Linked DNA regions of Canis lupus familiaris. The protein of the gene in region 2 purifies or fractionates together with the protein of the main gene of each other region. This does not show direct contact. Links are inferred from orthologs where the notes say so. Each region holds a gene or a part of one and is shown on either strand. Other genes may lie near its edges.

Region 1 (4,263 bases), on a different chromosome or scaffold from region 2:
CAAGCAGAAAAAGTAATAGGTTTTATCTGAAGTAACAATTTAGTCAAATGACAAATTTGGTAGTCAGTTTAATATGCTGTAGCCCTTATCTATCTCAATTTAGTACGATTCTATAGATACTTATTCTCTGGTACTGAATTCCCATTTGGATAGAAATAGCTGCTAGGTAGAAGAAAAAAAATTTAATTTAGAAACAATTTTCCTACAGCCGAAATACCAATCAATTTTAAAATTATATATGTATGTGTACAGCTGTATGAATGTATATACACATGTATGTATGCATACGGATGTGTTTATGTGCATACATACCTATATTTCCTCTCTCCCTTTCCCTCTCTCCAGAGATACAAAATCCTGACTTAGGGTTTTGTACGCTGTTTATTTCTCCTATCTAGGAAACTTCACATATTCTGAATGCACTCGATCTGGTGAATTGTCAACGATGTCAAAAACTATTATGAAAAAAGGGAAGGTAGGTGATATTTGGCGACCTTTTACTATTTTAGGTCAGAGCAAGCAGCCTCCCTTCGATGTTCTGAAGTGAAAGATGAAAACTTGCAGCTTTGAAGCATAAACGAACATAATTACACATTTACTACAATCACCTACAATTTGACTTACACAACACCACAAAGACATCTAAAACATTTTTCTACATATCTTTTTTACATTTGTTAAAACAGCTGGCTATGTTAAATACATTTTCAGAATGCATTTGTTAACCATACGGATAAACACACTGAGCCAAGCAATACAAATAACATCAGTTACCATTTAACCTAATAACTGCACCAATCACTTTAAGAAGATACAATTTAAGGGGAAGTGTGAGATCATCCATGATGCACTGCAAAGGTACTACATTTTAGTCCTAAGAATGGTCTGAAGGTGCTGAAAGAGGGGATTCTCTAGAAGGTGACCCAGGGTTTTCCTCGGGTGGAAAAACTGTGAGAGTACAAGCTCGAATCCCACCAAGTGACTCTGGAAGGTCAAAAACTTTATGCCATTCATCCTTTTCTGGGTCATATTTCTGGACAATTTCTACCATACAACGATTATTCCAGGAATATCCACCCACAACATAGATTTTATTTTCAAAGACAGCAACTCCAACATCACTCTGACCTCTTAACATAGCAGCAATTGGTGTCCACTGGTCAAGGGTTGGTGAATAGTATTCACAGCTTAGAACATCATCATAATCACTTGTTCCTCTGAAGTGATTGCCACCAATGACATAGAGCTTGTCTCCAACTGTACACATGCAGTGCAGACCTCGGACTGTAGTCATTGGAGCCTTCTGTGTCCATTTGTCTGTATCTGGGTCAAAACACATGAGCTCGTTTTGGAAAGTGTCATGAGTAATTCCTCCTGAAATATACATCAAGCCTCCGTACACTGTTCCAGCATGGCCATAGTGGGGCTCGCTCATTTTTGCAACATAGCTCCACTCATTCATCCTTGGGTTGTAACATTCTACTGTGGCCAGTTCACCAGCCGCACTTCGCCCACCAACAGCATATAAATGTCCTTTAAGGGCACTCAAGTGGAAAAACGTGCGCTTTTCATTTAACGATGCAACCTGCATCCATTTGTTGTACCGAGGATCAAACCTGAAAACTGTATCAACAGCAGTTTTCCCTTTCGTATCATAATTACTTTGACCACCAACTACATAAAGAAAGTTTCCAATGACAGCAATACCATGCTGGTAACGAGGAGCATCCATGGGGGCAAGAGATCTCCACTCTTGTGCCCTTTCGTCATACATCCGTAATTCTTTGCTGACAACCAGCTGCTGCCTCAAAACTCCTCCTAATGTGACCAAGTGTGTCGAGTCAGATCGAATGGCAGTTCTATCTGACTGCATCACTGGCTGCATATATGGCATCATTTGGTAATTGCTAGCTTCCAAAAGCAAATTCACACAAGTATTGTCTGTTCTCATGAAATCTACTGTCTGCACGTAATTGATGAGATCCTGGGGTGTCATCAATGGAAATCGAATGTTCTTCATTAATTTTGCAGCATAATCCATCCGAGGGTCTTCCAATCTTAGCCAGCGACAGGCGGCCTTGAAGAGCTCAAGTTCAGTGCAGTGCTTAAGGCTGTTACTAGAAAGCACAAAGGCAAGCCGTTCAAAGGGGAGTTTTAGAAACTCCCCGGTACTCAGCAATGCAGGAAAATTCTTCAGGATGAAATTATTGACGTACTTATCCACTTCGATCAGATTGTAGGTGTTAGCAATCCGCCCAACTTCAACACAGTTGTCTAAAGAGACTCCCGAAATAAGGAACACCTTACAGAAGTCCAAGACGGGCAAAATCTGTAAGAAGCTGGCAGCTTCAAGGGTGTCCTGAAGATTGTCCATATTGAGAGAAAGTTTTGCAGTATAAATGAAATCAATTATTTTCTTCAGCCCAACCTTGTTCACCCCATGCAGCTTAATGCACATCAGATCCTGTTCTTTCATTCCGCCTGTGAACATTGCCTTGAAGTAATCACTAGCGGACGCCATCATAGCTCTGTGAACGGGGAAGATTTCATCTCCGTCGCCCGGGACCAGGGTCACATCACAAAGCAAGCCTTCTACTCTGAGCTGGTCGAAGCCTTGCAGCACCACCGAACTGTGAGTGTTGCTGGTAAAAAAACGCGTGGTTCCTGCCTTGCAGGGCTGTAGGTGGGCGGAGACGCCCATTTCGCCGGTGCCGAGGGACACTTTCATGGGAAAGCCTTCCTCCCGCGGAGACCCGGGCCCCCCGGGGAACGAGGCTGTGGCCTGAAAGCTCTCAAGGAGACGAGCCGCGCACGCCCCGAGCAGGAGGGCTCGCTTTCCTTGATCAAGGGCGAGCGGTCACCGCGGCACCCCGCCAACACACCCGCCGGTCATCCGCTCAAAACTGGTGGCGGGCAGGGCCACGGAGGGCTGCGGACCTCAAATCTGATTGCTCTGCGGACGATTCATCACCTGAAGGCAGTGAAGCGACCCGGTTCGCCCGGTCCGGCCTGCGCCGCCGCTCCTCCAGCAGTTCCGCTCCCGGCCAAGGGGGAGGCGCCGCCACGTACTGCGGCCGGCGACGCGGCGAGGCCGGCCCACCTCAGCGCGCGGCCCGCTGCGCCCTCCGCGCTCGCTGGAGCGTCGCCGCGGACGCCGGCGGCGGTGCAGGGACGACGGCCTGGACCGCGGGCCTGGCTCGGGCCTGGGCCTGGAACGCGGGCTCTGCCCCGGACGCCGAGCCGGTCCTTCCGGAAAGGCTTGGTCCCAGGATCCCCCGGGCTAGGAGCGGCCGCGGCGGCTACTGCGCCTGCGCGCCGCCGGGCCCCGTCAGCGGGCGGGCGCGTGGGGGCGGGGAGCAGCGGTGCGGGAGGCGCCGAGGGCGGGGGCCGGGGCGGGGGGCCGGGCGGGGTCGCGCGGAGGAGCGGGCGCGGCCTGGGGCTCCAGGGGCGCCCGCGTGGTGCTGCGCGTGTGCTGCGAGCTTCTCACGGCGCCTGAGCTCTCCTCCTAAGTTCATACTTTTTTTTTTTTTTAAAGATTTACACTTCCTGGCTTCTGCCTTTTGAATAACGATGACGTGCGGCTTTTGTATAGATGGGAAGGCAACGGGGAAGAGGCGGCGGCCCTGGGGGCAAGATGCTTAAAACTGTTCCTCGATAAAGCACTTGGGCTATGATTTTTATCCTACACCTCAGTTACCATTTTGGTTCACATATTCAAATTACTAGTCGTTTAATACACGGATCATGGGTCTCTAAATACCAAATTGTGACCACGGCACATGAATAGTATAGCCTGGGTTTTGGCTGTGCAGTGCAATTCCGTTGTAATTGTTCTCCACTCACATTTTTATTTTTATTTCATTTTATTTTATTTATATTTTTATTTATTTATTTTTTGTTGGTGTTCAATTTGCCAACATATAGAACACCCAGTGCTCATCCCATCAGGTGCCCCCCTCAGTGCCCATCACCCAGTCACCCCCACCTGCCACCCACCTCCCCTTCTATCCACTCACATTTTTTTTTAAAGATTTTATTTATTTATTCATGAGAGACACAGGCCGAGAGAGAGAGACAGACAGACACAGACAGAGAAGCAGGCTCCACGCAGGGAGCCCGATGTGGGACTCGATCCCGGCTCTCCAGGATCACGCCTTGGACGGAAGGCAGACGCTCAACCACGGAGCCACCCAGGCATCCCTATCCACTCACATTTTTAGATGGCTACAGGACTTTCCGATGATTCCACATACTATAGTTTCT
Region 2 (4,416 bases):
TAACTACCGAAGTATCCAAAGGCTTTTATGTTCTCTCAAACCATCAAGAAGATGCCATGAGGGAGACAGCACCGGCGTTTCAAGGATGAGAAAAAACTGAGCCCAGAGAAGATAAGGAATTTGACCTCGGCCCTGCCAGTGGAAGAGGAAAGCACGAAATCATCCCAGCAGCGCTCAATGCCAGAGCAGCAACCAGGCACCAATCCCAGACCCCTTCTACTCCTCCCAGGAACCCAACAACACTGCTCACCCTGTGGCGATGGCACCAACTTCGCCCTTAGAGCCACTCGTCCTCTTGACGTCCCAGACCTTCATTATCCTCTAACTCCACAAAAAAGAACAGTCCTTCTCTGTCCCTCCTCCCTGGAACTTCCCCGGATGTGGGCAAGGCCTGAGCTCCTCGAGGTGCCCTGACTCTGCCCCCCGCCCCCCGCAAGCTCCTCTAACCTGCCACCTGCTTCGGGGCTCCCGTGGCTTGGCACTCTACAACCGCAGCACTGTGGGGCTGGCAGACAGGGCTGTGACCTCCCGTCAACCTTCTCTGCTGACACAGAGGACAGGACTCTCCCAGTAGGTTCAGTGAGCCCAGATGGAGCCAGCTTTCCTGACTCTTAGGCAACAGGCCTCACCAAGCAGGCTTCTCAAACTGGACCCAGGATGAGCACAGGGTCTCAAACGGAACAAATGAAATGTCCTTCTAAACTAAAGATCCTAAAACATCTTGGCCTGGAGTGATCTTTCCTACTGAAGAAGGGTCCTTAGAGCTCTGCATCTGGACTGCCCAAGCCCTCAGAACTAGCAGGAAAGTCTCACACCACACCAACACTCCAAACCCCACAACATCGGGAAACCTTCAAGGTCCATAGTGGAGCATCCGAACAGCCCCATCCACCCTCTTTGCCTGCATTCGCAAGAGACCCCACACACGTGCTGTGGGTGGGTGGCCACAGAAGAGTCTCTTCTACCAAGTGAGGTGCAGAGAAGAAAACTCCTGGGAGGCAAACGACCTAAGCCACAGTGCCACTGCGAGTCTCTCAGGGTGACTCGGCATCTTCGTGCCCCATGCACAACATGCCCCTGCCCAGTGCTGACCCTGCCTTTCCAAGCCTCCTGCCAAATGCCCCTGTGCACAGAACTACAGCTCCCAGGACTCACCCTCAACCGCCCAACAAAATACCTGGGGCGTGTCTGCTTTCTTAAAGGTTCCTGGGCAGTGCAGGCTGTTGGGAATCAACGTCAGAAAGGCTGGAAAGCAACCCCTGGATTTCTGTGCAACTTGCTGCCCTCGCCACTCCCCTCACCCCCCAGCACGCATGCAACCCCATGCTTCTCCATCTGTCCGCTGGGATTGTCCCCCAAGGTGCTGCTCTTAAACCACCCTGGTTCCTCCTCTCCCGCCCCTTAACGCTTGGCCTGAAATTCTAACTTGTCTAAAACTACGCTCTTCTTCCTCAACTCAGCAAACAGTGCAGGTACCGCTCATCCTTATTCCAATCACCCGGGTCCTCTCCCATCCATCCCTCTCCTTGCTGCCACTCCCCTGGTTAAACTGGCCATCCAGTCTGGGAAGTAACAGGTGTTCTACACGCTGGTACCGCCCCGACGGTAAAACGAGAGCAGACACCAACCGTTCACGTCGGTGAGGACTAGCGCCTGGTAGGTGCTCCGTGATGGTTCTTTCTGCTCCTCCGGGTCTTTCCTACATGCTAATGCCACCCCGCCTGCCACGGGCTAAGTAGTAGAGCACAAGGATGCGAAATCACAAAGAGGGAGCTGTGAGTTCCAGCTCCGCGAGGGCTCTGGTGATTTCACCTGACCCTGCTGAGAAAGCAGCTCGCCGGCCACACTGGGCTGCACAAGCTCTACGTCACCGAGACCTCCCTAAGGGCCCGCGGGCAACCAACCCGCAGCTTCCCGGCCACCCAGACGGCACTGCTGGCCACTGAAACCCCGAGCTCACGCGTCTGCACACAAGCACTGAGGAACAGGACACCTGACCCGCCCGCAGCGCCCAGCCTGACTTCAGGGGACGCCATCTGCCACCGCACCGCAGACTGCGGGAGGGCCGCCAGCAGCTCCGTCTTCTCAGGTTCCTGCCAGCTCGGCCCCACCTGCCCTCAACCACGTTTCTGCGACTCCCAAACCGCCTCTAAGTCGCTGCCCGCAAACAGCCCTGTCCTCCCGCGGGCCTGCGCGGCTCCGTCCCCGCCTGGACCGCAGCGAGCACGGCGCAAGGGGAGACGAGATCCGAGCGAGGCCCGCCTCGGGGCCGGGGGGGGGGGCTCGGGGCGGGGAGTGGGAGGGCTCGGGGCCGGGGGCTCGGGCCTGCGTGCGGCGGCTGACGACGCACGCACAGGCCGGAAACACCTGCTCACCGCTGCGGCCCGGTCTCGCGCTCCCTCCCGGCGCCCCCCTCCTGCCCCCCGCCCACACCCCAGTGGCCGCGCGCCCGCCGCTCTCGCACGACGGGCCGGCGCGCGGGAGGCGGGGCCGGACAGGAGCCCGAGGGGTAAACTGAGGCCGGGAGCGGCGGGCTCCCCCGTCCCCCGAGCCAGGGCCGCCAGCCAGCCCGCCGCGCGCTACCTGCAGCACCAGGGCCTGCGCCGCCCCGGGCGGGAAGCCCATGCGGTCGGACGGGTGGCGCAGCAGGCGGTAGAAGTCGGTCTTGCGGTAGAGAAAACCGAAGAGAACGCGCAGGAAGTCCTGGACGTTGCCCACGTGCTGCAGGATGCCCAGCAGGGCCTGGTCGTACAGTTCGGCCGCCCCAGGCTCCATGGCGTCGCCGGCCGCAGGGACGCTGCTCACTGCGGGCGCGGCCCGGACGCCGGCCCACGGCCACTTCCGGCACGCTGCAGTAACGGCTCCGCCGCCGGCGCAACTTCCGGTCTGCGCCCGCCCGGCCCCCGACTATCGGGGCGGGCCGTGGGCACCGGGGCGACCCTGCCGCGAGCCTCGCCCCCGCCGCCCGACCGGCTTCCCCGGGCAGGCTCGCGGAGGACCACACGTGGGCCCCGACGTGGCTCCTAGGCGCCAGAAAGCCCGCGCCTGCAGGACCGAGAGCGCCCAGCGGCCATGTTGGAGACGGGCGGAAGGGGTGTGGCTCGGGCCGCGTCACGTGGGCCCCGTTGTTGTCACGTGGTGGCGGAGCACCGCCCCTCGGGGGGAGAGGGCCCGCCAGGGGGGCGCGGAGGAAGCTGCGGGCTGGGTGGCCCGGGCGGGGGCGCGGGGGTGAGAGCTGCGCAACCAGCTCGGGGCTTGGGGATGCACACGTGTAGGCGGGTGTGGCTCGTCCACCTGCGCGCGCCGCGCTCACGTGACGCCCTCGGCCGCCCAGTGCAACTTGCCGGAAGCTGCAGACAACTACGCCGGCTCGGGGGCACGAGGGGCCCGGCCGGAGCTGCCCTCGGGCGGCAGAGTGAGTGACGTCAGCGGCAATGCCCTGGTTCTGAGAGCCCTGGAGGAGCTGGGTCCCTAGGACCTTGAAACCGCAGTGAGGTTGCTAGGTTGGGTACGCAGCTGGCTGCTCTCCGCAACTAGGATCTGCAAAGGAGCGTACATCGCCGCCGTCCATGGGCTCCAATTAACCGTAGATGGAGTTAGACCCGGATAAATTGCCCTAGGGCAGTGACGTCACACACTCCTGACGCTTACTGAAGACTCCAAAGGCCCTTTATGTGCGCCCTTCTTATAGTTAGCATATCGGATGTTAAAACTCAGAATTTAAAATTTTTTATTCATTTTTTTTAAAAAAAAACATACACAAGCACATTACGTGTTAACATTTTTATGAAGAAATAATGTTCTTCAAAGCAATGAAGTTTACCCAGAAGAGTAGCATAGCTTTACATTTTTCACAAATGTCTTTAGTGTTGGGCTTAATAGAAAACAGCAAGAGTCTCCCACCTTTCACTTTCACTGCATTGCAATACGTTTTGATCGAAACATATGAAGAAACCCAGTCTTACGCAGATTGGAGTTGGAAATGAGAGGAGTGTTTTGTCTTTTCAAATACAAGCATTTTTTTTTTTTAAGATTTTATTTATTCACGAGAGACACAGAGAGAGAGAGGCAGAGACACAGGCAGAGGGAGAAGCAGGCTCCATGCAGGGAGCCTGACCTGGGACTCCATCCCGGGTCTCCAGGATCACACCCTGGGCGGAAGGCGGCGCTAAACTGCTGCGCCACCAGGGCTGCCCTACAAGCATCATTTTTTGAGGCCAAAATTGAACGTGTGGTAGTTTCTTAACAGCTGTAATATGGAATCTGAAACATAAATAAATGTTTCCTAATCGTCACATTGGTATCTCTCAGTCTGTAATGCACTTTGAGTGGATCTTTTACATGCATGATTTCCTAACATCAGACTGGAATGCAGAATATGGCCAAACAAACCATATTACAAATGTACGAAGCAGC

What was found.
Region 1: the proteins of NUDCD3 (region 2) and KLHL9 purify together in Homo sapiens (co-immunoprecipitation; 3 studies listed by BioGRID and IntAct, with this or other methods). This does not show direct contact. The link is inferred for Canis lupus familiaris from reciprocal best matches to the Homo sapiens genes NUDCD3 and KLHL9.

What each region holds. Positions count from the first base shown.
Region 1 is NC_049232.1:40,905,542-40,909,804, reverse strand, and holds the start of KLHL9 (kelch-like protein 9), read right to left. Parts: upstream 3,091-4,263; 5' UTR 2,729-3,090; coding exon 875-2,728; 3' UTR 1-874.
Region 2 is NC_049237.1:14,165,030-14,169,445, reverse strand, and holds the start of NUDCD3 (nudC domain-containing protein 3), read right to left. Parts: upstream 3,075-4,416; 5' UTR 2,776-3,074; coding exon 2,584-2,775; intron 1,934-2,583; exon of another isoform or gene 1,629-1,933; intron 1-1,628.